4 linked regions of the Lepisosteus oculatus genome follow. The protein of the gene in region 2 interacts with the protein of the main gene of each other region in a pairwise test. Links are inferred from orthologs where the notes say so. Each region holds a gene or a part of one and is shown on either strand. Other genes may lie near its edges. The genes, in order: rnf41, vps52, wtap and mfap1.

Region 1 (6,964 bases), on a different chromosome or scaffold from region 2:
GCAAAATGAAACAGGAGTATCAGGTGGCCAAGAGCAGACTTACTCACCCACAGCCTTCTTCGCACATGACCGGCCTCTTGGGGTTGTGCTCACAGTCTTTAAGGTGGGACTGCAGCTGGTCCAGGCGGAGCACAGCCTTGCAGCCAAACACAGCGTTGTCGCAGGTTATTTGTAGCTTAGAGAGCATGTTGCGCATGATGCGTGGTACAGGGCGCAAGTGAGCCAGCGTAACCACTGTCCGGTCCACTGGGCAGATCTGCTGTTGGGAGAACCACTGGGTGATGCAGGCATTGCAGAAGGCATGTTCACAGTGAGGCGCCTGTGGAGAGGATATACGAAATGAAATGGATAAAGTTAGGCACAGTTTTATAACGAGCAGAATTTCACAGTACTGCTCCTTGGGATCTCCAGTCTCTTCTGTTTATTAGTCGAATTTAACTCATTACTTCAGCTAATCAGCTTTTGAGAAACAAATCAAACTGTGGGATAGGAGTCTTTCCATTTTGATGGCTTTTTGTTACAAGCACTGAAATTACTTTATTAGGAAAAGTAACACTTCTATAAACTGTAACTGTATGCCACATTCACAATGATTTCTCTAATTCAACCAAAGAAATAAGCAACATTTGATTTAATGATTGCCCTTAAAGAAAAAACAGTAAATATTCTGTATGTGAAAAACCTATTCATGGTGCTCCTTAACAAGCTTCAAATCTCTGCATTTTTAAGGACTAAAATACCTGCATTATCCCTTACTTCCTGCCCCAATTGAGAGCTCTATACAGAACAGATATGATCAATTGGACTCTGAAAGAGTATAAAAATCACATTCCTGGAGCACTTGAAGAATAAGTGACATGCGCAAATACAACAGAGCATTTCAAAACTCAGTGCAGCTGAAACCACACAGTACCAGAGGCAAGGCTGCCCACCTTGGTAATGCAATAGCTAAAATTTGGAAGACAGTCAATGTTTGAGAAGACTCAATTGGTACGTTTAGCCAAGTAGGACTGTCAAAAGTAGAGTAATTAAAGTTTACTGAAATTGACTAAGCCTTTAATTTTCCAGAAATAGCTGTAAAGCTGACAGCTACTGACCACCAGTGTTCAGTAATGGGCCACTCCAAATAATGTACAGAAATTTTAAATTAAGCAAGGCCAGAGCTTTTGTCTAAGAATGTTCGCCAGCAGAATACAAGCCAGTCATACTTCAGCTGAGACATGTTCTATTTTTTAATAAACCCATATTAGAGACCAATCAAATCACAGAATTTAAGAAACAGCTATATCAAGAAGGATCAATGCTAATAAGATTAAAGTGGGTGAAAAAAAACATTCTGATCACAAAATGCATAAACTTGTTTCTTCTAAGCATTGGATTCCTATCCTGGCTGTACAGCTGCCAGCTCGCTGCGCAAACCTCTGCAACATGCTCAAGAGCAAACAGACTAGACAGGTCTGCAGCCTGGGAGAAAAACAGCAGCGAGCCAGGGTCCGCACTTCAACATGAATGCGGTACGGGCAGTGCATGCATAGAGCAGACTTCTAGAACGAAGAAGCACTAGCCTTATCTGGTTTTCCTTGTCATGTATCCCAAGACAAAACATTTCACTAAGGATACAGTAGCTGCATGTCACTATGCTGGAAAGCTCAAAAGCAAAACAGTGGGGGGAAAAAAAACTCACCTCATAGGCCCTCGGATATGACAGCAGTGACTGAATTAAGGCATTCAGGAAATACATTTGAAGCTCCGTATAAACAGCACTCTGCATGACTAATACTGGTCCATAGTCTTTCTCCTAACCTGACAAGGATTAGGACACTACCTATCCTCCTCTTTCTTCATATTGTCAGCTCAGAAAGGCAGTGCAGACAGGCAAACAGGCACATTGTAAAGGAGGGATCTTTGCATCCCTTTGCTCTGTCACTTTGTCCCCTCACAGCAGATCAGTACATCTCTCTCCTCCCCCATCACTCCCTCCCCTCTGCATCTCTCATCACTCCTTAAAAGCTCCACAAACCCTTGCGATAATCAGCTTCCATACCTGGAGTTAAAAGTACAGTTAAATGTTTTTACATCAGAAGATTATTACCAGTAATACTTCAAAAATGCATCTTGGATTTTCAATACACTTTAGAAACTGTGGTCAAATTGTCTTTTGGGATTCATGCTAACTTTTAAAAGCATGCAATGCTTTTAAAAGACATGTCTGTGCAATGTCTCTTATGTAAACAGCCCCAAGGCAATAGACACAGAAAAACAAGAATAGAATCGATTACAGAAGCTATTTTAGACTGTGGAGTAAAAGATCGGTCGCCATTAAATACCCCCAGATGAGAAACTGTCAGGGAACACAAACAGCCCTAATGCTCACTCAGCTGTGCTCTACAGGAACAATATACTTGGCTTTTCATCAGGGGTTAAAAAACTAGGTAAACGTCAACATGAGTGGCCATTATGCCAAACCCAGACACAGAAAGAGTTTTTGGCTTCAGTTTCATCCAAGGCCTTGCTACAGGGACTCAACCGTTGAATATAATGAATGTAGAATGTATTGATGTTGAAAGGGATGCCAAATTCCTCTAAAAACATCTGTAGGTCTGCGGCAGTACAGAAACAGGCCGGGCCACCCTGGCTGCACATGGTGTTCAGTCTTACGAAACCAGCTAAGATCTCAGTTATCTCAAGATCCCACATTGCAAAACACTACAATTATACTTTTTTGCTAGGATTTTAGCCTTCCAGCTCAGAGACAAATGTCCCTGAACAACACAAACATCTGTTTCAACCTCCTCCCTACCCTCTTTCTGTCACTCTGTCTCAGTGGAGGACAAGCAGGCACAGATCTTGGTTGATGAAACTGGATGAGGGTCCCTGGACAGGGCGAGTCAGAAAATAAAGCTGAGACTAAACAGGGAAGATGATGACACTTCATTGAAATGAATACATTATTTCTGTGTGAAGAAGTCATTTCAAGATTCCAGTATGCTCTTTACAGCAAAGCTCTGGATATTTTTACTTCAACACCACAGTCTTTAGTTTACACAACATTATACATAACTACGTCACTAGATAAATAAGCAGAAATAAGGGTGAGGCAGTTATCTAACAAATCAATTCAGTCATGAATGACACTAAGTAATACCCAGTAAGACCAAAATAAATGACCTGAACTTCACACCTGAAGAAGGCTCCACAGCCGAAATGTTGTCTCTTTCTTTCAGCATGAAATAAACCTTTACTTGTTCCTCCAAAGAAAATGAATTCTAGTTGAACAAAGCCTTTACCATAAGCTTGGGATAGCATGTCCCAACAGTCAACTTCTAACCACACAAACATACTTATTTTACAGTTTCTATCTAAGCACAGACAAAACACTACTAAAAAAAACAAAGTAAGCAACACATCAAATAAATGTCTGTCCCATGGATGCCATCCTATGAGCTCCCCCCTGAAAGGACTGGGCTTATTCAGGGCACAGTAGGAAGTGTGTGTGACAGGACGCGAAATCGCCAGGTGTACCTGCACAGGCTCTTCTAAGACACCGCTGCAAATGGGACACAAGAGATCCTCGTCCACTTCCCCTTGGAACCTGGTGACGTCATAGCCCATGGCGCATTACAGAAACCATCAAACCTGGGAAGGACGGAAAGCGGCAGGGGGTTAGAAATGCCCGATTCAAGCACACAGCAGTCTAGCTGGGTTTTGAATGCATGGTGCAGCACGGGGACAGTGTGCAATACAGACACGCAAGAGAAGTGCTCCTGAGTCAAAGGGTCTCTTCAGCAAGCTGATTTTTTACCAAAGCAGCTCTTGAGCCTTGTAGTTCAAACACAATCAAGCTATGCGCAAACCTCCATTACCACGGCATGGCCAAGGGAAAAAAAATATTCTCTAAATCTGTTCTCTTATGGTTTTTATTCCATTACTACATTTAATGAAAATAACAAATGAACAGCTTATTAATGGTAGCCACTGCAGGGGACATTCAGCAAGAGAATGTGCTCCATGTTGCTGTGAACTGTTTCATTAACCACATTCCAGCTAACATACAGGCCTTTTATGTTTTAGACAGTTTTTGTTTTACATTTAGATGTCAATTCTAAATTTGTTCCGAATGCGAAACCACAACTACTTAATAATAAAGCATTAAATGCTGAACTTTGTATGAACTAATAACCTTATTTGCACTATTAAAAAAAACAAAGTGAAGAAACTATACTCTAGCATCCACTCAATGAATGAAATGGCAAAGGACGTTAAATGTCAGAATTTTGAGGATATATCAAGGCGCCAGACTGTGTGGAGCCAATGCTAGCATTTATAAATCAATTCTGTGTTTGACAGACAGGTGCACAGTCATGCAAAAACAAAACTTTCATGAGGTCACAGCTTTGGCTTAACCAAGATGCCAATAGATACAATAGATAGTTAGACACCTCCAAGAAATATATAAGCAATATCAAGGGGGTGTCTATGAAACCAAAATGCTTGGATAGAATACCTCTGTATGAGTCAGTTAATTCCATGTTTGCCAATGCACTGTATTCTTTTGACTGAACGAAAGGAAAAAATCTGTTGTCTTTATTCACAATGCCTTTTTAGCTCACTTTGCTAAACTCAGAGAAGAAAATAAATTACTTTAGAAACAGCAGCAATATTCATCCTCCGTCACCCTGTAGAGATGTCTGCATCCTTTTGTATGTTTTGTTAATGCATCAGTTAGAATGCTAAAACTAATCACTGAATCAAACTCTTAATACAAAATGAAGTTGTAACTGGATTAGAACGCATGGGTTAGTTTTGAAATACAATTATTCTTTTAAGCAATCAACAAACTTGGTGTTTAGGTTATGGTGCAAGAGTATATACTGTACATGCAAGATCAGATTTCTAGAAGAGGGAAAATGACAAGCACAAGAACATCTACAGCTAAAAGGATAAAATCTCAAGACCAGGACCAAATATTATTCTGGTATAGAGATTTAATTAAAAGCGCACAGATTAATCTGTGCTGTAACCCTTTAGTAGTTCTGCAAGCATGCACAGATCGATCCAATGGACATGTTCTTGTTTTAACCACACCCAGGGGAACCCTGAGCTACAGGGACTAAACCCATGATCACCAGTGCTAACTGATTAATAGAATCAATCTGCTTGCTTACTTTTAGACACCAAGAGCCCTTGGTTTAAAAAGTAAATTTTCATTTTTTACAATTTTAGCACACAAACATATAGTGTCGCCTCAACTTGCAATTAACAATCCCTGATTTATAAAACATCTTGTTAGGTGACAAGTTTATGCTGAATAGTCACAGATGGGAATGCCAATTTATCCAACATTCAGGTGCTGTGTGTTTGGTTTTCCTTCTGCTTATGTGCCAATTCCAGTTAGACTAAGTAGATGCCAATTAGTAAAAGCATATAACAGCTAAAGAGCTGAAAGAAAATTAAAAAAATAAGAATTTGTTATTAAGGAGCCGGATGGAGAAAAAACAGAAAAAGTGATTAAGAACCACTGATGTAGCGTTTACAGTAAATAAGTTCGGCTGAGACTCAAACAGCAAACCTGGTACTGTATATATACAGTAAATAGCACACAAAGTAGTGAGTCACTCCCATGCGGATGTTCCCTTGCATTTCTTATCCTGCAATCTTATACTGTCTGTCTACCGTGCTTCACAGCAGCAGACCATATACACAGCAAACTGTGTACTGTGGTTAATAAATGCAAATTCAAACATTTCAGTTTCTTTTTGCTTCGCATCAAAGATGAATACATCATCACAGGAAATACACATCCTGACTCGCGTGTCTAATTAAAATTCTATTTGAGTTAAAGCACTCTTAGCTGTCTAAAGACAGGCATGTGGTGACCGTGAATTAGAGAATCATACAGCAACAGGCACAGTCAAGTACAAAGCACCTCTGAGAATAAGGAACATGTTCTTTGCTGAAACAGCAGCCCTGCAAAGTCTGTTTGTTCTATTTAACACAAGTTAACACATCACCCAGTACACTGCTAAATGTGGAAAGACTGTAGTACCAGGGAGGTCAATGTTCCATGCTTTTCCAAAAAGCTGTTCACCAAATGCACTGCAAACAGCTGGACTGGACAAAAGTTACATGTCTTTTGTAGGAGTGGTTCCCTTTTTTTTTTGACTGCTTCACCAGGTAAGGTTTTGGCTCAACCACAGAGCAGAACCCAAAGGCTACTAGCATAAAACCCTGTTAGAAGTCTTTGATTCCCACATAACATGAAGGACAGCTGACCCAAGCTAGCTCGGTACCTCACGCAGAAGTGGTGGTCATCTTCTATGTGCTTGGTATCCCCCCCCCAGTCACATGGGCTGTTCCTCTGCTGCTGGTCTTCACCCTGTGGACAAGACAGGAAGGATTTCCATTATTTTATTGGTAGTAAACAGCAATATAGAGAATGACTGGCCTCCCTCCCATTTCTTGGCTATGCTAAATCTTATTTTTCTACGTGTAACACTAACCTGAGGGATCTGCCAAATTAAAACTCCTGAAAAATCTGACCAATTTCCAGCGTGGGGTCATGAACCACCTGCACAGGAAAAAGCCAGTGTGCCTTGTGGAAAATCAAAACCAAGTGACCTCTGTAACCCCCACACACTTTACTGGATGTTTTGATGCACATTTCTAGCTCCAACAGGACGCTAGCCAGTATCACCTGGCTCAATTCAATCACTGCCAGGACTAGAACAATGGAAAATATTACTGACCCGACAACTGATGTCTGTTTTTTTAGATCACTTTCCCTCAGCTTCGGAAGGTTTTAAAGGCCTCATCAACAATATTACAAAAGCACTGAAATAAAACAAAAATATCTTTTAACACTTTCCAGTTAGACTTGCTTGGTACAATCTGCTTCTGTTGTAATTTTTGCCCACCCAGTTAGAAAATTAAAAAAACTTTTACAAAGAGCTTTTAATCCCAAAGG
Region 2 (7,031 bases):
CCCCGCCCCCCTGCGCTGAGCTGCGATCTCAGTGGTGCTGCTGTGACCGAGGCCCCGCCCCCCCTGCGCTGAGCTGCGATCTCAGTGAAGGCTCCATGCCTGAGGCCCCGCCCCCCTGCACCGAGCTGCGATCTCAGTGGTGCTGCTGTGACCGAGGCCCCGCCCCCCCTGCACCAAGCTGCGATCTCAGTGGTGCTGCTGTGACCGAGGCCCCGCCCCCCCTGCGCTGAGCTGCGATCTCAGTGGTGCTGCTGTGACCGAGGCCCCGCCCCCCACGAGGAGGGGAGGGCCCAGAGAGGATACAGTCCCTGATGGAGGCCTGCTCGATCTGCTGCAGCTCCGCCTCCACCTGCTTGGAGTACTGCCTCAGGTCCACACCCTGGGAGAGAGGGTCAGTCTGGGGTCAGTGTGTGTGTGAGTACCGCCTCAGGTCCACACCCTGGGAGAGAGGGTCAGTCTGGGTCAGTGTGTGTGTGAGTACCGCCTCAGGTCCACACCCTGGGAGAGAGGGTCAGTCTGGGGTCAGTGTGTGTGTGAGTACCGCCTCAGGTCCACACCCTGGGAGAGAGGGTCAGTCTGGGGTCAGTGTGTGTGTGAGTACTGCCTCAGGTCCACACCCTGGGAGAGAGGGTCAGTCTGGGGTCAGTGTGTGTGTGAGTACCGCCTCAGGTTCACACCCTGGGAGAGAGGGTCAGTCTGGGGTCAGTGTGTCTGTGAATACTGCCTCAGGTCCACACCCTGGGAGAGAGGGTCAGTCTGGGGTCAGTGAGTCTGGGGTCAGTGAGTCTGGGGTTTGGGGTCAGTCTGTTGGTCAGTGAGTCTGGGGTCAGTCAGGGTCAGGGGGTCAGTGAGTCTTGGATCAGTGAGTCTCGGGTTTGGGGTCAGTCTGTTGGTCAGTGAGTCTGGGGTCAGTGAGTCTGTTGGTCAGTCTGTTGGTCAGTCTGTTGGTCAGTCTGTTGGTCAGTCTGTTGGTCAGTGAGTCTGGGGTCAGTCGGGGTCAGGGGATCAGTGAGTCTGGGGTCAGTCAGGGTCAGTCTGTCAGTCAGTGAGTCTGCGGTCAGTCAGGGTCAGGGGTCAGTCTTACCGTTTTCAGAGCCTCCTTCACCAGATCATCCTCCAGATTAGCCTGGATGTGGACTGTGAGCACAGAAACTGTTAGAGACACACACACACACTACAAACCCACACTCTCACACAACTCTACACTCGCTGTGTTAAAGTGTACACCACACACACACACTACAAACCCACACTCTCACACAACTCTACACTCGCTGTGTTAAAGTGTACACCACACACACACTACAAACCCACTCGCACAACTCTACACTCGCTGTGTTAAAGTGTACACCACACACACACTACAAACCCACTCACACAACTCTACACTCGCTGTGTTAAAGTGTACACCACACACACTACAAACCCACACTCTCACACAACTCTACACTCGCTGTGTTAAAGTGTACACCACACACACACTACAAACCCACTCACACAACTCTACACTCGCTGTGTTAAAGTGTACACCACACACACACTACAAACCCACTCACACAACTCTACACTCGCTGTGTTAAAGTGTACACCACACACACACTACAAACCCACTCACACAACTCTACACTCACTGTGTTAAAGTGTACACCCCACACACACTACAAGCCCACACTCTCACACAACTCTACACTCACTGTGTTAAAGTGTACACCACACACACTACAAGCCCACTCTCACACAACTCTACACTCGCTGTGTTACAGTGTACACCACACACACACTACAAACCCACACTCTCACACAACTCTACACTCGCTGTGTTACAGTGTACACCCCACACACACTACAAACCCACACTCTCACACAACTCTACACTCACTGTGTTAAAGTGTACACCACACACACTACAAGCCCACACTCTCACACAACTCTACACTCGCTGTGTTAAAGTGTACACCACACACACACACTACAAACCCACACTCTCACACAACTCTACACTCGCTGTGTTAAAGTGTACACCACACACACACACTACAAACCCACACAACTCTACACTCGCTGTGTTAAAGTGTACACCACACACACTACAAGCCCACACTCTCACACAACTCTACACTCGCTGTGTTAAAGTGTACACCACACACACTACAAGCCCACACTCTCACACAACTCTACACTCGCTGTGTTAAAGTGTACACCACACACACACTACAAGCCCACACTCTCACACAACTCTACACTCACTGTCCACTTCATCGAGGATGAACTCGTCAGAGGTCAGGTCCAGGTCACCCAGATTGAGAGCAGGAATGTCATCTGGGTCAGACTTCATCTGTGGAGAGAGACCGAGGGACAGCCGTAACATGGGGGAGAGGAGACACAGACCAGGGGGAGAGGAGACACAGACCAGGGGGAGAGCCGTAACACAGGGGAGAGGAGACACAGACCGGGGGGAGAGGAGAGCCAGACCGGGGGGAGAGCCAAAACACAGGGAAGAGGAGACACAGACCAGGGGGAGAGCCATAACACAGGGAAGAGGAGACACAGACCGGGGGGAGAGCCATAACACAGGGAAGAGGAGACACAGACCGGGGGGAGAGGAGAGCCAGACCGGGGGGAGAGCCTTAACACAGGGGAGAGGAGACACAGACAGAGGGAGAGGAGAGCCAGACCGGGGGAGAGCCTTAACACAGGGGAGAGGAGACACAGACAGAGGGAGAGCCGTAACACGGGGAACACACACCTGTCTCCCTGAGAGACCCCTGTGTGAGCAGTAAGAGGCTGGGAGCTGGCTATGGGGGAGAGGGACGTGTATACAAACACACACACGTACGAGTGAGCAAGGAGCCGCCCGCCGGCGCTCCCCGTGTCTCTCCCGGGGCGGAGGCGCTGCACGTACCTCGTCCTGCAGGTACGCCATGGCGCTGACAGCCGGGCCGGCGTCCGCAGTCTGGAGCACCGCCGCCATCACTGCCCGCATCCGGGTCCTCCGCCTCCCAGCAGCCCCCGCGCCCGCCTCCCGGCGTGCTCTGCGCTGAGGGTTTTTTTTAATGGGTTTTATTATTGAATTATTATTGAATTATTATTTTTTTGCCGTAAAGATCGTAGCTGATGTGAAGAACATGTCGCATGGACGGGATGGACCATTTCATCATACGACAATGTTCAGATTTATAAACTCTATATGTAGTTTTAGCTGTGTGCATATGCGGCGAACTCGAATATAAAATAAATTGGAATATATTCCAATAAAATGTATATTTAAATATAAAATAAATGATACTGATCGATACTGTCTTTCAGATGAAGTTAAAGAAATAACATTTAAGATTGTTCATAGATTTTTATCCGGTTAAATTGACACTTTCTGGATTCAAACACGATCGAGATGACTGATGTGTATTTTGTAATAATGAGAATGAGGAATCTGTGTTACGTGTGTTTGTTAATTGTTAATAAATATATACATAATTGTTTTGGATAGATTTTCAAAATGTTGTTGTTAAATATTTAAAGTTAAATGTTAAATTGTGAGATTTTTATATTATTTTATATTTTATTAGACCTGATTTGGATAAACGATACGTCTTCGTAATTAATCTGTTAATTATTTTGGCGAATCCTCCCTCTATTAATGCTTTTAAGGTAGAATTCTTTTTTTATTTAAACTCGATTAGACATTTAAAGAATCAAAAGGCAAAATCTCCGTCGGAACACGTGGAATTATGTAAAAAGTTTAATTTTTAGCTGTTATAATTGTGAATTCCTCCGGCTGTCAAGTGTCTATTTTTGTATCTGTTTTAATATTTTGTCTCCCCCCTTGTATTTCTGCTGTTTAAATAAAAACTTAATCTAAAAAAAGAGTTCAGCTCCCCTGTACGGTGGGCATTTGTACTACCCGCTGTCTCAGGAAGGCTGGGAGTATCGTTCAGGACACCAGCCATCCCGGTTCCTCACTTTATCTCCCTCCTTCCCTCCGGTCAGCGTTATAGGAGCTATTTTTGGGGGGGATTTATTGTTGCTGTCATTCTGTAAAGCGCTTTGAGAAGCCACCTTTAAATAATAATAATTAATAATTGCTTTTACTTATATAGCGCTTTTTCTGGACACTCCACTCAAAGCGCTTTACAGGTAATGGGGACTCCCCTCCACCACCACCAATGTGCAGCATCCACCTTAAAGGCGCTATATAAAATAAAGTTCATTATTATTATTATGATTATTATTATTATTAAAGGCGCAGACTTCCAGCTTCAGAGACGGCTTCTTCCCCTCCAGCTGTCAGATTACTGAACTCTGCCCCTCCCGCTGGCTCACACGGATGTGTTATCCAAGTCGTGTGTTATTAAACTTCTCGTTGTCGCTGCGGCTGTTCCGTGTTGATGTTTGTGGCGATTTATTTCATGTCTTTGGACTGGAGCGGACGGGCGCGGAAGCGTTTCCTCGCACTCGTGCAGAGGACAAACACACGGGGCGGGATCGTGTGAACACACTGGGACGGACCCAACACTACCGGCTGTGTCCGGTCCCGGTCCCGGTCCCGGTCCCGGACGGGCTGGCCGGGCTGGCGGAGGGGTTTCCAGCTCCCTGTCAGTGGGGTATAACTGTGGCTCTCCGCACACGAAGGTACCCCGCAGTCCAAACGCCTCTCTCGGTGAGGAAACTGTCCCCAACACCAGGCAGAACGGACCCCTCTGTGCCCATCAGGGGGGAAACTGCTTTTAACGCCACAGTGAAACACGCAGCCTTCGAAAGCCATGTCAGTCCCCAGTGCACCGCGCAACAGTACAGCCAATGGCGTCGTAAACCCAGCGCCCGCTGGCCCGGAGGGCACCAAAATATTAAATAATAAAGTCAGTCCGGCGAAGGTGCCGACGAGCTGATCCGAGTTTCAGAGTCGAGGGGGAAGGAAAACCTGGGGACACACCGGCCGCACAGGGGCCGGGCCGGCGGCTCTCTTCCGCACCGAAGGAAGACCTTTTCTTTTCTTTTTTTAAAGAATCACGGGGAGTCGTTTAAAACCGTTTCTTTTTTCTCCCCACCACCACCACCACTTAGAGCGCCGTCCTCTTAAAAAGGCAGCGACAGCGGCCCACAAGAAGAACTCGGTCCGTGTTTCCCCACCGGACGGCATTCGGGAGGGGGCGGCGGCGGTCGGGCGCCGGAACCGGAAGCCCCTCCCCGGAGATCCCGCGATATAGTCTCGCGAGAGCGCGGCCTCTGCCTCTTTGCGACGGGACCCGCGGACAAGATGGTGAGAGGAGACGGGCTGCCGGGGAGCCGGCAAGGCATCCGCCGCCATCGCTTGCACACGGGGGCGCCGGCGCCCCGGCCGCCGCGGGGCAGCCTCTGCCGGACCCCTGCCCGGCCCTGCGGCTCGGTTTGGGTCGGAACCGGGTGCGGGTCTGTTTTAAAACTGGCGCTCGCTGCTGTGCTGTGTGATCCGGCCATATTCCCTCCGAGCCGAGCCCGCTAACCCCCCTGTCTCTCTGTGTCTCTCTCTGACCCGCAGTCACTCGTTATCCCCGAGAAGTTCCAGCACATCCTGCGTGTTCTCAACACCAACATCGATGGGCGCAGGAAGATCGCCTTCGCCATCACCGCCATCAAGGTGAGACACGGGGCTGTGAGTGGACCGGACTGGACCGGGCTCTGGGCTGACCCGCTGTGTGTTCAGGGGCAGGGCTGGGCTGTGGACTGAGCTGCTGTGTGTTCAGGGTCAGGACTGAACTCTGGGCTGACCTGCTGTGTCTCTGGGTGTTGAGGGTGTGTGTTCAGGGTCAGGGCTGACTTGCTGGGTCTCTGTGTAGACTGTGTGCTCAGGGTCAGGACTGGGCTCTGGACTGAGCTGCTGTGTGCTCAGGGTCAGGACTGGGCTCAGGGCTCTGGACTGACCCTGTTGGTGTGGTGTGTTCAGGGGGTGGGCGCTGGACTGACCCTGCTGGTGTGGTGTGTTCAGGGGGTGGGCGCTGAACTGACCCTGTTGGTGTGGTGTGTTCAGGGGGTGGGCGCTGGACTGACCCTGTGGTTGGTGTTATTTGTATTCAGGGGGTGGGCGCTGGACTGACCCTGCTGGTGTTATTTGTATTCAGGGGGTGGGCGCTGGACTGACCCTGCTGGTGTTATTTGTATTCAGGGGGTGGGCGCTGGACTGACCCTGCTGGTGTAGTGTGTTCAGGGGGTGGGCGCTGGACTGACCCTGCTGGTGTAGTGTGTTCAGGGGGTGGGCGCTGGACTGACCCTGCTGGTGTAGTGTGTTCAGGGGGTGGGCGCTGGACTGACCCTGTGGTTGGTGTTATTTGTGTTCAGGGGGTGGGCGCTGGACTGACCCTGTGGTTGGTGTTGTTGTGTGTTCAGGGGGTTTGCGCTGGACTGACCCTGTTGGTGTGGTGTGTTCAGGGGGTGGGTGCTGGACTGACCCTGTGGTTGGTGTTATTTGTGTTCAGGGGGTGGGCTCTGGACTGACCCTGCTAGTGTGGTGTGTTCAGGGGGTGGGCGCTGGACTGAGCCTGTTGGTGTTGTTGTGTGTTCAGGGGGTGGGCGCTGGACTGACCCTGTTGTTGTTGTGTGTTCAGGGGGTGGGCCGGCGATATGCCCATGTTGTTCTGAGGAAGGCTGATATCGACCTCAACAAGAGAGCTGGAGAGCTGACCGAAGACGAGGTGAGTCTGGGGGGAGAGGGGGCTGTGTGTGTGTGTTGGGGTGTAGTTGGGGATGTCTTGGTGGGCAGGTGGAGATGTGTTGGGGTCTAGATGGACGTGTGGGGGCTCACTGCTGTGTGTGTTGGGGTGTCTGGGGCGGGGGCAGGTGGAGAGAGTCATCACCATCATGCAGAACCCCAGGCAGTACAAGATCCCAGACTGGTTCCTCAACAGGCAGAAGGACATCAAGGATGGAAAATACAGCCAGGTAAGACTGCAGTGTCCTGAGGGGGGCGCAGCACCCTGCGGCCTGTGGTCAGTTACTGCTCCCTCCTCACTGGGGTACGGGTCTCTACAGTGCCCCCTTGTGGGGCTGCAGGCTATACA
Region 3 (7,320 bases), on a different chromosome or scaffold from region 2:
CTTGGGAAGATTGACAGTGCAGCTCATTTCTGGAGACGTGAAAGTTGCATTCCTGTTCTCGTTTTTTAATGGTTTAAATGCATTTCCATATTTCCACTTTAAGTTTCCAGTTGTGTCTTCTGGTTCGTATTTCATGGTTCATTCTGAAGAAGCCTAGTGTGTCACTTCGTCATTGAGGATTTTTGAATACCTCTATCAGGTCTCCTTGGAGTCTTCCCTGTTCTGCCTTGAGGCTCCTGGCTTCCGTGCCCTAAAGTTGGATAAACGGTTATTGAAAGTGATGATGATGAAACGCGGTGACCAAAATTTTACACGATATTCAAAATGAATCCCTGGTACGAGTGGTTTGCACATTGTTATGTACACTTTGCTGATGTTATTAGTATCTATATGCTAATAACATTAACTGTAAATTTACTTAAACCCTTAACTTGCTTTTACCAAGTATACATATTTTAAAAATATAACTTAAACAGCCTTAAATTTTGAACGTACATTTGAAATGAACATTTATCAGGTTCAGGTATTGCAATGTATTTTTTACATGTTACACAGCAAAGACATCAAGACAGAAAATATCAAAATTCTTTGTAACTATATTTGCACCATGTCAGCACTAGATGGCACTGTCAAACTTTTTTGTGTATGTGGAGATAAACTGCAGAGGGTCTGAAATTCTTAAAATTTGTAGGAACAACCTTATTATTATTATTATTATTATTATTATTATTATTATTTGACACAATATACCATTTTAGGAGTTTACAGTCAAGTAATCTAATTTAATAAATGCAGAGGAACAACAGGTTTATTCCATGCTGAAAAGAGAAGAAAGAAAATACAAAGTTTCGGCTGTGGAGCCTCACACCCAAAGAATGTTTCTCTTTTCAGCATGGAAAAAACCTATAACTTGTTCCTTTGCAGCCTACGGATGCTGACGCAGCTACCCACCTGTACTAATTTAATAAATGTTTCTACTGTATATGTCAGATTGAAATCTAGTGAATAGCCAAACAAAGAAATTAAACCTTCATATCCAACAGAACAGGTAATGTATAATGTATATATTGTAAAAATGACCATTGTGGAACCTTCTGACATTCTGCTAGTGGCGAAGATCCTGGTGTCTCTTTGCCTTGGGCTGTAAGTATGAACTATTTACTTCACTTACAGATGTGCAGCAAATGAGCAAATGTAATCAAATTTAAGTTCAGTCTGGCTCCCAGAGCCGGAATCCAGAGGTTTACTGTGATGATCCTCCTCTTGGCCGCAGCTGGAGGCTTCCGTGATCAATACTGCTGGCCCCCTTGTGAGTCCCTAGACTCAATCATGAGACTTGTGATGCCCCCATGCCCTGGTTTTACCCACCCACGGGTGATTGACAAAACAGGGGAAAATTGGGACAGTATTGCAAAACCCATACTTGTCAATATCACTGTGTGAGGCAGGGACTTCAACAGAACCAGCTGAACCACATCTATACTAGGATTGTTTACAGGAAAGCAATGTTAATTTTAAAGAATGTCTCACATTCAAAAGCTATAGAAAATATTTTTAAGGAGTCATTCATGTTGTGTGCCGTTACTCTTTTAAATTCTGATTCCTTCCACAACATTGCATTGACAGCACATGTACTGTACGGTCACACTTAAATCTTATGTTTCACACTTGAGTTTTATGGTTTTGTATTATGTTGTATTGTATGGTTTTGTTATTTATATTGCATTGATTGTATGAATCATGTGACATATGTTACATACAGTTAAAGTGGTTCAGGTTGGTAGCTGCGTCAGCATGCGTGCAAAGGAAGAAGTAATAGGTTTATTCCATGGTGAAAATGGAAGAGAGAAAACACCTCTTCTTTCTCTTGTCTCTCTCACCTCTTCTCTCCACCTGTTTTCTCTCTTCTTAGCATGGAATAAACCTATTACTTGTTCCTTTACATACAGTTACAGTTTTGTTTACTTGGTTTTAATTGTTGTCTCAGTGAATCCAAAAGAAAATTTCCAATGTATGTGGACAATAAAGGACATTCTGATTCTGCTATCTGGAAGACAGCACTGGGAAAATCAGGATGGTTTGTAGCCTTAAATATAAGACTTGAATGTTTGTTGTTGAGTTAGGGCAGAGAATACAGTACTGTACTTGACTTTACTGAGTAAACTGACTTTAAGGTCACACAGAACAGTGTCTCTCTAAGGGCTGATGCCTTTCTCTCCCTGTTCTTTGAGCTTCCACCCATTGGTCAAAGGTCCGTCTTGCGTACACGCTCGTTAATTACAGCACAGTTCAGAGGTGGCATGTAACTGGGCCCCAGACCGAGAGGGAGCAGGGCTCCAGAAGAGGGTAAGCATAGACAATGTATTGTTACAATACATTACAATACAACAATAGACAATGTATCTGCATACAGCCAGTTCTTCAATGAGGCCCTGCGCAGTTAGCTCTGTCCACACGCAACACATAAATGGGACATTTACAGTACATGCCCCATCCCAGCCCTCCCAAGAACGAGTCCTGAGTCCTGGCTAGGCAGTCAGGAGAACTCAGGCAGTGTTTGAGAGGGAAGACTTGAGGGGAACACAGTTTGCATTGTTTGACCCAGGAGAGGACTCATACACTAGAGACTCTACAGAGAGCAGCAGAGGAAGACCCCGGCATCATCGTCCTCCCCCCTAACAACTGGACTTAGCTAGACTCAGCATGAGGGACCACATTGTTTGGGTTGGCCGGGACTGAAGAGGATGCCTAAGACAACACATAATGTCTTTGCTGTGGCAGAAGGAGGCACACCAGGTCACTGACCCAAAACAGCATTACTAGACTTTTGCTTTGGGACTTTGGGTTTTGGAAACTGGGGTCCATGGGGCTCATATGGTTTGCTGGCATGTGGGTAATTTTTGTCATGGACTCTGTGTGATCGGTAGACTACAATAAAATGGCATATTATGAAGAATGACTGTCTTGTCTGGTCTGTGGGTGCACTGGAGGTACTGGGAGATAAGAAGAACCTCTGGTGGGGAAAAAGGGGCCTAGCACTCTTGTAATTGCTCGGTGGAGTAGTTGGCTATAAAAGCTAAAATTATTCTGTATTTTGGGATCACCACCTGTGACAGCTAACCCCTAATAAAATCACAGTAGGACTGTAAATGAGTCATACACGTAATCACCACATTCCATCATGAACACCTGCAAATAGACATACCTGTCAAGTGATAGAAGCTGTCTGCATGGAATACAGAAATATACATGAATTTGGAGTTGACGGAACAGGGTGTCAAAAGATTAAACTACACATTTAATTCCAAATGAAAACATAAATAGCAATTTATAGATATAACAACAACACTAATGATACACTGTGAAGCATTAAACAGTGCACGAGTATTGAAACAACAGTATTTGTTGCACTTTTTAAAGCCTCTGTGTACAAACTTTATACAGTGCCTTTAAGCACAATTATCCATCTATATATCCATCTTATAACCGCTTTATCGACTACAGGGCTCGGGGGGCAGGAACCTGTTCCTAGCAAGCCGCAGGAGCATGATGGGATATCCCCGAGCAGGATGCCACACAGCGCAAACACACTGTCACAAACTCAGACATGCACACACCCACGCCAGGGCCAGCTTTCCCACAAGCCAATAAACCTGGCAGCATTTTCGACTGTGGGAGGAAGCCACAGAACCCACACAAAGAGGGGGATATCATGTAAACTCCATGGAGATTGCACCCCAGCAATGCTAGCCACTGCGCCACCGTGCCGACAGAATATATCTATGCATTATGTGTTTTTCCTCTAAGTCTTCATAGTCGTACTATTATTATCATAAATGTTGAAATCCATATTCATCACTGGGGATTTCAGACAGCGAGCTATGTACTGAACTTTGTTGATGTGTGCGATATTACAGGATGTGGATTCTCTGAATAATAACATATTTCTATGACAACTGGAAGAGACTTGCGCCTCCCTCCGTCTGGAGCGCTGATCCTCCGGCCCACTGCGCTCTGCGCGCGTCCACCTTATGATGCTTTGCGGCGGAAGCTCCTCCTCCTCTCACTCATGGCGGCGGCGAGAGATTTGGGCAAATAGCATCGGTGTTTGGAGAAACGAGACAAAAAAAAGATTTCCCGATTTGTTTTTATTTTTAATTTCGCTTTTGTTAACGTTTTATAGCGTTTGTCCAAGAGGATTTCTAGCCAGCAGAAAGACGGGTCTGGTAAGTCTTCCCTCAGGGGTGTAACGGTGGTTATCAAGGGGAGGATTGTGAGTCTCGGCTGCGGGAGAGTCCGACACTCTTCCTTCAGCGCCATTTTGTGGCAGCGAGAAGCTGCAAACACAAGAAACCGGCAGGTAGCGAAAACACAACATAATGATTCCCGGATATTTATGCTAGTTTTGGCGAGCACGGTTACACGTACGTAAAGTGTCTTTTTACATGTTTGTACCTAAGTGTTTTTATACTTTGTATTTAAAAGTAACGAAAACAGCGTGATGTGTATACCAAAACCATGATGGTTCTGCTTTAGCAAGACAGGGGAGGGCGGATACCTCCACAGGATATTTTTTTATCTTGAATGAGAAAAGAAATGATAAAAATTAGAAAAACAGTGGAACCGAGCGCCTTGTCACCTTATATATACATACTCACAGGACTTGAGCTGTTAGGTTGGCTCTTTACTGAGCATTTACTTGGCAGTACTTGAAATAAATTAGGTGTCCCAAGAAGATGTTGATAGCTTTTTAACTGGTGTTTTTTTAATTGTTTTGATGGGGAAGGTGTTTACACAAGCTGAAAAATACTTTGAATTGGTTGTAGCTTTACTGGAAAATTCTGGAAACTTTCTAGTCCGAATATTTTGGATTTCGTTTTGCTAGCACTATCAGCCGAAGCGCAACTTCAGACGCCGTACACCTCTGTCTTACCATCTGAAATCAATGGTTGTAGCTGAGCCTATGTGATGGAGTCAATGATTGAGGCTATCGTTAAAGTTAGTTTGCTGCGGAAAGATGTAATTTGTAAGAGATAATGTCGATCTAATATATGTGGATTGTAAAATTGTTGACAAGTTTTTGTCCCTCCCCCCCCCCCCCCCCCCCACACTATTTTAAGAAGTCGCATAATGTTGACCTGTCTTTTGTGGCCGCCTGTTTCTTTTTGGTTAACTCACCATAACAGTGTGAAATCCACGTCAAAGTCTACTCTTCATTTATCTGTGATTAATTGAGTGTCGATCTTCTTGCACACCCCAAAAAAAAAGTTTCCTACATTTTGTTGAGACTTTCCATTGTTTTGTTTTCTCTTTCCCCTACAGAGTTCAGAATGACTAATGAAGAACCTCTGCCAAAGAAGGTCAGTATAGGAAATGTTATACAGGTCATTCAACATAGTGATCTTAAATGTTGAGATTTCAACTAAACATCTTCTTGCTTGATTAGGTTCGCCTTAGTGAATCTGACTTGAAGACCCTGACCAGAGAGGAACTTTGTGTAAGGTAAATATCTGTATTGCAGGGAGGGAACTGGGGCGTTGCGTCTTAATTTGGCCTTGTGCAATTCATGTTATTTTTTCTGTTCAGGTGGAAGCAGCATGAAGCATATGTCCAACTTCTGGAAGCAAAATATGCAGAACTGAACTGTAAGTTCATGTTTTCATGTTAATAAAAATTGTATTTGGAAAATGAATAGATAAATTGTGAAGGCTACTTAATTTCACCACGTATACATAGCATCTGCTGCTTAATTGGTTCTTACAAGACCTGTTGTTAAGCAGTCTATTCAGAAACCTTTATATACTGTCTCTCAAGATTTTAATACCTGCATTTGTGCAGTGCTTTTCAACCAGTTTAAGTGCAGCCTCCTCCTGGATTGATGTGAGAAAACAATTGTTGGGTGCCTAACTTCCCAGCAAATGCAAGTCCGAAGTGGATTTTTGCCAGAATGTGGGTTAGCCCCCCTATTCTTTCGAACAGTATATTGAACCTTTGAATATGTGATCAGGATGTTAGTTTAATGTTTAAGACCACCTCCTATAGTACAGTGTCCTTATTCACAATAGAAGGGTATTGGTTTGGAAATTGTGTTCCAGAGGGAAGTGACACATTTATCCTCAAATTGACACAAATGTCACTTAATGGCAGCAACATGGTTTTCTTTAGAGTTTTTCCCATCTTGGCCCCGAACAAGGGTCAAGTATGCTTAGCTTCAGAAATCTGGGGTGATCAATTTACAGGATGGTAAAGCTGCTCTTGAATGCTCTGTTGCGTTTTTTGAAATGTTAAGTTTTTTTTCCTCTTTATTTGCCCAATTCTGGTTTAGCGAATGATGTGACTGGATTGAAGGAGTCTGAAGAGAAGCTGAAACAGCAGCAACAAGAATCTGCAAGAAGAGAAAACATTCTTGTCATGAGGCTTGCCACAAAAGAACAGGAAATGCAAGAGTGTACAGTAAGTAGCAAATACTGTTTTTAAGTTGTATTTGTTGAAGGGAAGTGTGCATCACAGTATTGGCCTGAAAGAAAATGCATATATAGATAATATAAGGTTTAATGTTTTTTATTGGAATTAGATACTTTCTACAATTATTTCATATTTGGCATGGAGTTTTTTTTTGCCAAAACATTTTAAATTTGTACCCATTGATTTGGCTAGGTATTAGATTGATATGAGTTAAGTACCTTGTTCAAGGGTACATCAGCAATGGGATTTGAATCCACAGCCTTTCACTCCTAACACTCCTCCACACTGCTGTACTGCTTCAGTTAACTTATTTTACAATTTTTTTAATCTAAACTTTAAGGGAGGGTATTTTACTGAAATTGAAGACTGTTGGCTCTAACTGCTCCAGTTTCAGTTGCACCCTTTAAACATTTGCATTGTGTGTTAATTAAGTATAGATACTTTATTGATCCTGTGAGGGAAACTGCAGTGCAACAGCAGCTTAACACAGGCAACACAGCCACAGTGTAACGAATGATACAATAATAATAATAATACAATACATACAATACAATCAGTACAGTGAGGTGTGCACTAAAAGAGTTACAGTCCAGGACACAAAGAACAAACTAGAACAGAACAGTACGCAGAAAAATTATATTCCACATATGATTATATAGATATAAATATAAATGTATTGCACGGGTCCCTGGCATATATTGCACAAAAAACAGTTGTAAATGGGAAAAGAAAAAGAACAGATGTAGCAGTAGATGTGTTCAGTCCAGAAACACACATCTACACATCCCAAGCGAATAGTGTTTTTATTTGTAACTTTATATATGTAAATGCCTCACACTATGCGGTTACAATTAA
Region 4 (7,847 bases), on a different chromosome or scaffold from region 2:
TGCAAGAGCCAGCAGAGCTCCATCATGAGGGCCTGCTTCCGCAGTCCACTCTGGCAGTGTACGCATTCACAGTGACCTGCTCACTGCTTCTTACACTGGCAAAGCCCCAGTAAAGACACTGCTGAGCAGCCCTGCAGGTCCTCAGTAAAACGAACGTTTAGCTTCGAGGGGAGACTGCTGTAACAGCATATTTCTTCCCAGCACAGACTTCACATTATTCTGTTCCAATTCTGAACTTTAGAATTGGAATACAGTAATATGTGGATCAGAAAGCTTCTCAGACTCTGAAACACGTTTAACACACTCCACGTGTTCTTACAGCAAAGAACGAAAAGAAACTGAAATAATGTTCCTGCCAAACGTACCAGTTCTTTACTTGTCTGCAGTCAGATGCTTACTAAACTTTTTGATAAATTATTAGAACAATAACGGTCTGCGTCACTGAAAGAGCAAAACCTTCCGATCTTGTATTAGGACCCTCCGCCCAAAATGGCACTACCCACTTGCGAATGAAGACGGGTTTGAGGCGTGGTTCGGTTTCGTCCTCGCTGTCAGTATACTCTTCATACTCCGACTCGGACTCCGACTCCTCTCCCGACTTCCCCTCCTCTTCCACCTCCATCAGCTCCATTTCCTCGTTCTTTCGCTCCTGCGCCCGCTGACGCATCATGGCACGCCGCCTCTCGATTTCCTACACACAAACACCGGGGGGAGAGGGGCTCACAGGGGACTCTTCTTTACCATCAGACAGCATCTTAACAGAGCACTAGCAATGAAAAGATTTGAGAACAGCAGGAAATAATCTTCTCACGTGTCAGGAAAACATCAAAACATTACAACACGAGAAGTCACACAAGGGAATACCATCTGACCCATCTTGGCTTGTTAGTAGCTAACTGATAAAATTTCAACAAACCACTTCTTGAATAATCCCAGGACAGTCAATTTATAAGCAAACTACTGTCCCAGGAAAGACACCGATCTGCACTTTCATACTAGAATCCAGTTATTACACCCAATTCCTCTGCGTTTACCTCATCGTCAACCTCCTCCTCCTCTTCCTCTTCACTGCTCTCCTCTTGGTCTGGATGCCAGCCCCCCTCATCCGACTCCTCGCTACTCTCCACCACCAGCTCCGGCTCTGCGATCTGCCTGTGTCGCGCCAACCTGAGGAAAAGCAGGGTCTGTGTCAGGGATAGGGCAATCAGACCTCACAGCAAAAGAATCAAAACGACATGACCCACAAATAATGTTATTAGTCCCACTGCCAGGCCGCTTTCCATTTTGACCATCACGACAATCAAAGTGTTATTTGGAATGACAGATCAACTATATAAAAATGACAGCTATACTGCATGCAGTTACATCCACTTAAAAACACAAAGAAGTTGCAATACAAAATTTACTGAAAAATAAAATAAATGAACTTCTGTTTGTTCACAATTTCCATTTTTAACTGATAATGTCACAATGGTGCAGTGATTAGCATTGTGTGCTATCTGATGGAGTTTGTATGTCCCCCCAGTGTTCATGTGGGTTAACCCTGGGTGCTCCGAGTTCCTCCCTCAGTTCAAAAGCACACCGGTAGGTTAACTGGACCTGGTGCGAGTGTGTACGCGTCTATGCCTCTCTGCCCCTGCCATGGACTGGCGTCAAGCCCAGGGTGTACCCTGCCTCGTGCCATTGTTTGCCCGGATGGGCTCCTGCTCCCCCATGACCCTGAACTGGAGGGAGCGGTTAGAAAATGGATGGATGTCACCAAGTCAAGCCACTTGGGGATGTTCTCAGCGGATGAACACTCCCCCCCCAGGGTACCTCTCCTCCACGTCCTCAGTGACGCGGTTCAGCAGCCGCCTCAGGCGGGGGTCCGACACATCCTCCTCCTCCAGCTCCACCTCCGGCTCCACCTCCTTGCCCTTCTTCATGAACTGGAAATCCTCCTCCTCTTCGTCCGAGGACTCCATGGGGGCATAGTCCGGGCGCTTTCCCGACACATAGCGCTTCACCTTCACCTTCTCCATAGAGATCTCACCTGCAGCAAGACACAGCAACCCCATTACCTCCCTCCTCCGCATGAACACATGCACACACAGCGCTGCCCAAGAGAGGGGCTGGGGAGAGTCCCTCACTCCCTGCTTCTCTCTGGCTCCCCCAGACAGCGCACCTCTGGAAGACTGCAATAACACACAAGCGCTACATGGAACTCCCTTAATAGTCACAGAAATCTGGAAACGATGACGACTGGTGTTTTTTATTACCCTTTGCGTTTCTTGCGATCAGACCTGTTTGAATAATCAACACTAGGGCTAAAGAGTTTCATTATAACCCAAAACAATTATGATCTGTATCTATAGAACACACATAAACGTAGCATTTTAATTTCTTAAATGGATTCATACACTTCGCAAATCAACACAAAAATACCAACATTTCTCTATTCAGTAGTATTATCAAATACCATATATGTATCGAAAATATTGGGTCTACGTTTTCATTAGCTTATATGTGTATTTGTATCGAGTGTAAACAAATAATCTCCCGCTTTGTTATTAATTATTGACTTTAACTTTATATCATATATTTATTAATACCGATACAAGTATTTATCCAGTATTTCATCATGTCTTACAATATAAAATTAACTTAAATGTATAATTATTTAACATTTACTTCAACTAATATTTTCGTGCACTTTCACAGACAACCTGTAGGAAAGTCAATCATTTTGGACACATTCCTCTCGGTATTCTAACTTTCAAACCGAAAACAAGGGCCCGATGATCACCAGTCCTCGCTTTATGCGGAGCCTCAGTCCAACAACTCACCTTTCTCATTGCGCACCGGCACGGCTCCGGCCGTGGATTGAATCGGCGGCTGCTTCACGTTGAGAGAATTCGGTGCCGCCATGACTGGACGGTAAAAATGACAAAAACAAATGCAAAAGAAACAAATGTATCTCAGATCAGCTTCACAACACACTCAACAACTATCTCCTTCCTCTCCGTAGCAGAGAAACAGGAAATACGACACCAAGCCGCCGGATGTTGTTACAGTGCTTGGATTCCGAACTGCAACAAAAAACTACAGAGCTTCCTCCTTAATCTTTATTTTGGACCAACATTCATTAACGTAGTGGGCGAATGAAAAAAAACAACAACAAATTAATTCCGTAGGTTTTATAAACAACATGTTATAATCTATAGAAATATTATTTAAAATAGCAATGATTATTTTTATTAAAATATTTACTGGAATAAAATTTGAAAGCACGAAAACCTAGTGTAAATCTACGGTTTGAAGCTGGTTTGTGTTTTAGTATATTTTATAGAAAATAATGTACTGTACGTCAACATTGCATATAAGTTAACACTGCTAAGAAAATGTATCGCTACATTGATTTCTCTATGCCGTGTCCCATCAAAAACATCTTTCTTTACATTTGAACTAAAAAGACGAGAACATGAATGGAGGATATTTTCAAAAGTAGAATAACGTGAGTTTAGTTTTGGAGTTTCAATTTTTATCATTTTGTGCCGATTCTTATTCGAGAATTATTCACCTCAGATTCCTCGCCTTCTTCTCTCACACACAACACACAACCACCTTCCGGAAGAAATAGGATCATGCAGTAAAAGAGTCGTTGTTTTGTCACATTACTTTATTTTATTCAAGAACTTAATTTACATTAGAAAAACAAAATTACAGGAATGCTATTACATCTGGGAGTATTAGTAGTAGAGCACTGTAACTGCCATTTTATTATAAAAGTAGTTGTTTCTGGGTTTTTTTTTTCATTCTCGTGTTTTCAGACTGGGAGGAAAAAGTGAACATATAGTATATTGTAGAAAATTGTTGCAAGAAGATTCTGTCTTCTATGGGGTTAACACTGAAGTTCACAGAGGTCGGTCAGCTGCGTTCTTCCACTTGCGACAGAAACAAGGCCAAAGTCATTAGAGGAAATGAGACTCCTCTGTTCTCGGGCAGTGCTTTTTCTCACTTGTCTCATGCGCAACTGGAAATTCACATGTAGGGAAGAGATGATGAGAACACAGACCGCGTCAAAAACTGAGACACCATATAATGTGTACCAGAACCAAGGTCCAGGAAATCCTGCAACAAGACCAAGACCATTAAGCAATCACCCACCATCAGAATATTGCTTTTTTCTGGTGTCATAGTTGACTATCCAGGAAATATAGGGGGCAGGGCAGGACTACACTCTGAACAGGACACTTGTTCATTGCTAGGTACACATACAGTACACACAGAAAGAATTAGTAGACACCAATAAACACAGTCATCATTACATTGGAAAGTATATGAAAACTGCATTTCACATCTATAAATCCCATCAAGAGTCTTAAAAGATTTGCATGCAATGATGATGTGCAACATGTGTTTGCTGAAAACTAGATATTGCTATATAAACCATGCAGAGGCAAACCATAAGTTTCCATAACAGAATAATGATTTGTCACTAATTCATTGTTGCATTAAGCATTTGCTTGTAAAAGTGGAAGATCTCTAGAGCCCTACTACACACACTACAGATTTCCAGGTTAAGAAGTTCCAGGTTGAGTTAGAATTTCTTACTTACGTAATCCCAAGATTTCAATGTAAAACTCATTGTCATATTCAAGGTAACCTAAAAATAAAAAAAATAGTAAAACTTAGTTTAAGTTGCATTTCTTTTAGATAATAAAAGATATGATTAGCAATAGTTTCATATTTCTTTAAATTACTTCTCCTGTCTTTTTATGGTTTCATAGCTACCATTAGACAATAAAAGCAAAACAAACCTTTGCAGATGAGACTATCCACCAATCTGGTATTTTTACATACCACAGACTGCTTTTCCCCATCGTGTTTTAGGAGTTATATTAAAATTAATAATTGTTTTCACATTGTACTCACTTCTCAGGAATATATTACTAGTCTTGCCCTGTTTTACCTTTGACTCCAACAGTGAACACAGCAAGCCAATACAGCATGAGAACCTTCATGTTTCTGTCTCCGTTCCTGCAGTATGCAGATCTGTAGCTTCCTGTTTGTGCTGGCAAACTTGTAGTTTCAGTTGGAAACTGTTGTGAACACGTTTTAAGAAACAAAACACACCCCAACACCTACAGGGTGGGATGATTCTGCAGAGACAGGAAGCTGACATGACTGAGGCAAATATTTGGTTTCTATTTGTTCCCTCAGTGGCATAGGCTTACTATAATACCACTAAGCCTATTTAAAGTTTTAAATGTTTCATGAGATTGTGAACCTCAAGTAGTGTGGGGTCTTATGGTGTTCAAAACAATGGTTATCTTTATGACACTGTAGCTGTCTCTCTCACAGTGCTCAACATTTGAACATAAATCAGGGTAGTTTCACACATACACTTTTCAGTTTGCATTGCTCTACAGAAAGCAAACGTTCTTTCAAATGTTCTACAGTAACAGTAAATAAAAGCTTTCTGTAACTATGAAATGAGCACAGTATTTACTGTAGTTGCTTCCTATTTGTTGTGTTGCTTTCTCATAAGGAAACAGAATGGTTAATTTAGCATGAGTGGTTTATATATTGAGGTTTGGAGATCTTGTCTCTGTCTCTAACCTGACCACAAATGGCTGCAGATCTTCTAATAACAATGATGTATTACAACCACTGTCTTTGACAAAGAAGTTGCAGATGAACATTTTATTATGTGTATTCTGAAGCAGAGAATACATAATATTGGTTCTACGATAATTATGTTGTAACTATATTATTAGACAAACTGAATAAGTGTGCACCTTGTACATGTGGAATTACTGCATGCATAACCTATAGTCTGTTAAAACAAAACGATTATAAAAAGACCGGGACAGAATACAATCATTCGTCTTTAATAATACAGAAACAACCAAAAGACAACGCGAGCTGTAAGTGCCGAGGCCAGTGCTATCTAGGGCAGAGCCAGTTCTGCTCCCGTCAGGTGAGTAAGGAGCCCCGCACCGGAGAAGAGGTAGTGTAGAGATTGTGGACGGGGTGTCTCTGCCGATGGGAGTCAGGACTCGATGCCTCTCTCCCTGAAGAGCTGCTGCAGCTTGTCCTCCAGTGCTATGTTAGTGCCCCGCAGACGCTTCACCACCTCGGCTGCCCACAGGAAATACTCCTGCACCCGCTCTGCTGTCCAGCCTGAAACAACGCAAGGTCGGAGTCATCGGCTCCACGCCCAGCAGATCACACACATCAGGACGTTCGAGTCTGCTCACTCTGAAAGGGGTTGACCACATTGTAGTGGAAAGTATTAAATTACCCTATGCACGCACATAAGGAAGTTCAAGTTATACTGAAAGGGCAATAACAGGGAATAGCTATCTTGCGGTAAAGTAAAAGGGGAACATGCACAAAGAAGGTATGCAAATATTTACAAGACCAGGATGTCTCCGAGTTCCTGTTGCGAAACATATACTCGAGCCATAATGTTTTTTTTTAAAACCCTACAAACGATCTTACACGTTCAGTCGCAGTCACACAAATGTCAGGCTACAACACAACAAAAACGTATTTTTGTTGTGGCCCAAAGCTATCATTTCTTATTGTGACAAAATCTGAAACACTGCATAATGGCTCACATCACAAAAAAAGTGATCTATAAAAATGTATATGTACAGCTGTGAAGGAGATCGTATTTTCAAATAATAATAATAATTGCTCACACTTATATAGGGCTTTTCTGGACACTCCACTCAAAGCGCTTTACAGGTAATGGGGACTCCCCTCCACCACCACCAGTGTGCAGCATCCACCTGGATGATGCGACGGCAGCCATAGTGCGCCAGAACGCTCACCACACACCAGCTCTCAGTGGGGAGCAGAGTAATGAAGCCAATTCATAGAGGGGGATTGTTAGGAGGCCATGATTGATAAAGGCCGATGGGAAATTTGGCCAGGACGCCGGGGTTACACCCCTACTCTTTTCGAGAAACGCCCTGGGATTTTTAATGACCACAGAGAGTCAGGACCTCGGTTTTACGTCTCATCCGAAGGACGACGCCTGTTTACAGTATAGTGTCCCCGTCGCTATACTGGGGCATTAGGACCCACATGGACCGCAGGGTGAGCGCCCCCTGCTGGCCCCACTAACACCTCTTCCAGCAGCAACCTTAGGTTTTCCCAGGAGGTCTCCCATCCAGGTACTGACCAGGCTCACACCTGCTGAGCTCCCTGAGCCTCTCTGTGGCTGCCCTGTAGGTGACTCACCAGTGGGAGTGCAGCGGTTCAAGTCCCTCAGGTTGTACAGTTTGTCAGCCAGTTTGACCAGCTTGGCCTGGTGGCTGCAGTGGGGGGCGTGCTCCACCTGCAGCCGTTTCCTCTCCTGTTTGGGAAGGGACCTGTCGTCGGTCACCTCCTGGACGATCCGCGCCACTGTCGTCCCAAACATGGCCTCCAGCTCCAGCAGGGTGGTGTCAGTGTCCTCCACTGTGTCATGGAGCAGTGCAGCCTGCAGGGGGGCACAACAACGTGCTCACTGACAGCTGACCACACATTTGAACTCCTCCAGTGCTGGAGGTGATACAATCCTAACAAGATGTAAATTTAATCAACGGATTCAAGGTAATAAATTAGGCAGTGTTACAGACAAATCAATATACTTCTCATTTACTTAACCATTTCATACCTGCAGAAACACAGCAAATCCATTCCTAGAACATCTGTTAATGCAAAAATGAACACTGCAACTGATGTAGTGCACACTATTCGGGTTACACAAGAAAATATCTTTTCACATTGTTTATTCTAATAAGATTGCAAGTAAACTACACATGCATACCCAAATGTGTCACTCATTTGGTACAGATTACAGCAGTGAGAGC

What was found.
Region 1: the proteins of vps52 (region 2) and rnf41 interact in binary tests that used the Homo sapiens proteins (3 or more experiments, as listed by UniProt). The link is inferred for Lepisosteus oculatus from reciprocal best matches to the Homo sapiens genes VPS52 and RNF41.
Region 3: the proteins of vps52 (region 2) and wtap interact in binary tests that used the Homo sapiens proteins (3 or more experiments, as listed by UniProt). The two-hybrid records come from large-scale screens. The link is inferred for Lepisosteus oculatus from reciprocal best matches to the Homo sapiens genes VPS52 and WTAP.
Region 4: the proteins of vps52 (region 2) and mfap1 interact in binary tests that used the Homo sapiens proteins (3 or more experiments, as listed by UniProt). The two-hybrid records come from large-scale screens. The link is inferred for Lepisosteus oculatus from reciprocal best matches to the Homo sapiens genes VPS52 and MFAP1.

What each region holds. Positions count from the first base shown.
Region 1 is NC_090696.1:15,789,532-15,796,495, forward strand, and holds the start of rnf41 (E3 ubiquitin-protein ligase NRDP1), read right to left. Parts: upstream 3,024-6,964; 5' UTR 2,972-3,023; coding exon 2,801-2,971; intron 320-2,800; coding exon 48-319; intron 1-47. UniProt on the Homo sapiens protein: Acts as E3 ubiquitin-protein ligase and regulates the degradation of target proteins. Polyubiquitinates MYD88. Negatively regulates MYD88-dependent production of pro-inflammatory cytokines.
Region 2 is NC_090709.1:39,252,985-39,260,015, reverse strand, and holds the start of vps52 (vacuolar protein sorting-associated protein 52 homolog), read right to left. Parts: upstream 3,015-7,031; 5' UTR 2,984-3,014; coding exon 2,903-2,983; intron 2,336-2,902; coding exon 2,248-2,335; intron 1,138-2,247; coding exon 1,085-1,137; intron 380-1,084; coding exon 304-379; intron 1-303. Other genes in the region: rps18 (small ribosomal subunit protein uS13), read left to right, coding at 5,255-5,257, 5,516-5,614, 6,579-6,665, 6,811-6,912. UniProt on the Homo sapiens protein: Acts as a component of the GARP complex that is involved in retrograde transport from early and late endosomes to the trans-Golgi network (TGN).
Region 3 is NC_090697.1:50,788,378-50,795,697, reverse strand, and holds the start of wtap (pre-mRNA-splicing regulator WTAP), read left to right. Parts: upstream 1-4,318; 5' UTR 4,319-4,396; coding exon 4,397-4,424; exon of another isoform or gene 4,425-4,447; intron 4,448-5,322; coding exon 5,323-5,360; intron 5,361-5,446; coding exon 5,447-5,502; intron 5,503-5,586; coding exon 5,587-5,645; intron 5,646-6,325; coding exon 6,326-6,453; intron 6,454-7,320. UniProt on the Homo sapiens protein: Associated component of the WMM complex, a complex that mediates N6-methyladenosine (m6A) methylation of RNAs, a modification that plays a role in the efficiency of mRNA splicing and RNA processing.
Region 4 is NC_090700.1:49,401,189-49,409,035, reverse strand, and holds the start of mfap1 (microfibrillar-associated protein 1), read right to left. Parts: upstream 3,024-7,847; 5' UTR 2,908-3,023; coding exon 2,826-2,907; intron 2,033-2,825; coding exon 1,816-2,032; intron 1,168-1,815; coding exon 1,035-1,167; intron 692-1,034; coding exon 504-691; intron 1-503. Other genes in the region: hddc3 (guanosine-3',5'-bis(diphosphate) 3'-pyrophosphohydrolase MESH1), read right to left, coding at 6,035-6,165, 7,234-7,474. UniProt on the Homo sapiens protein: Involved in pre-mRNA splicing as a component of the spliceosome.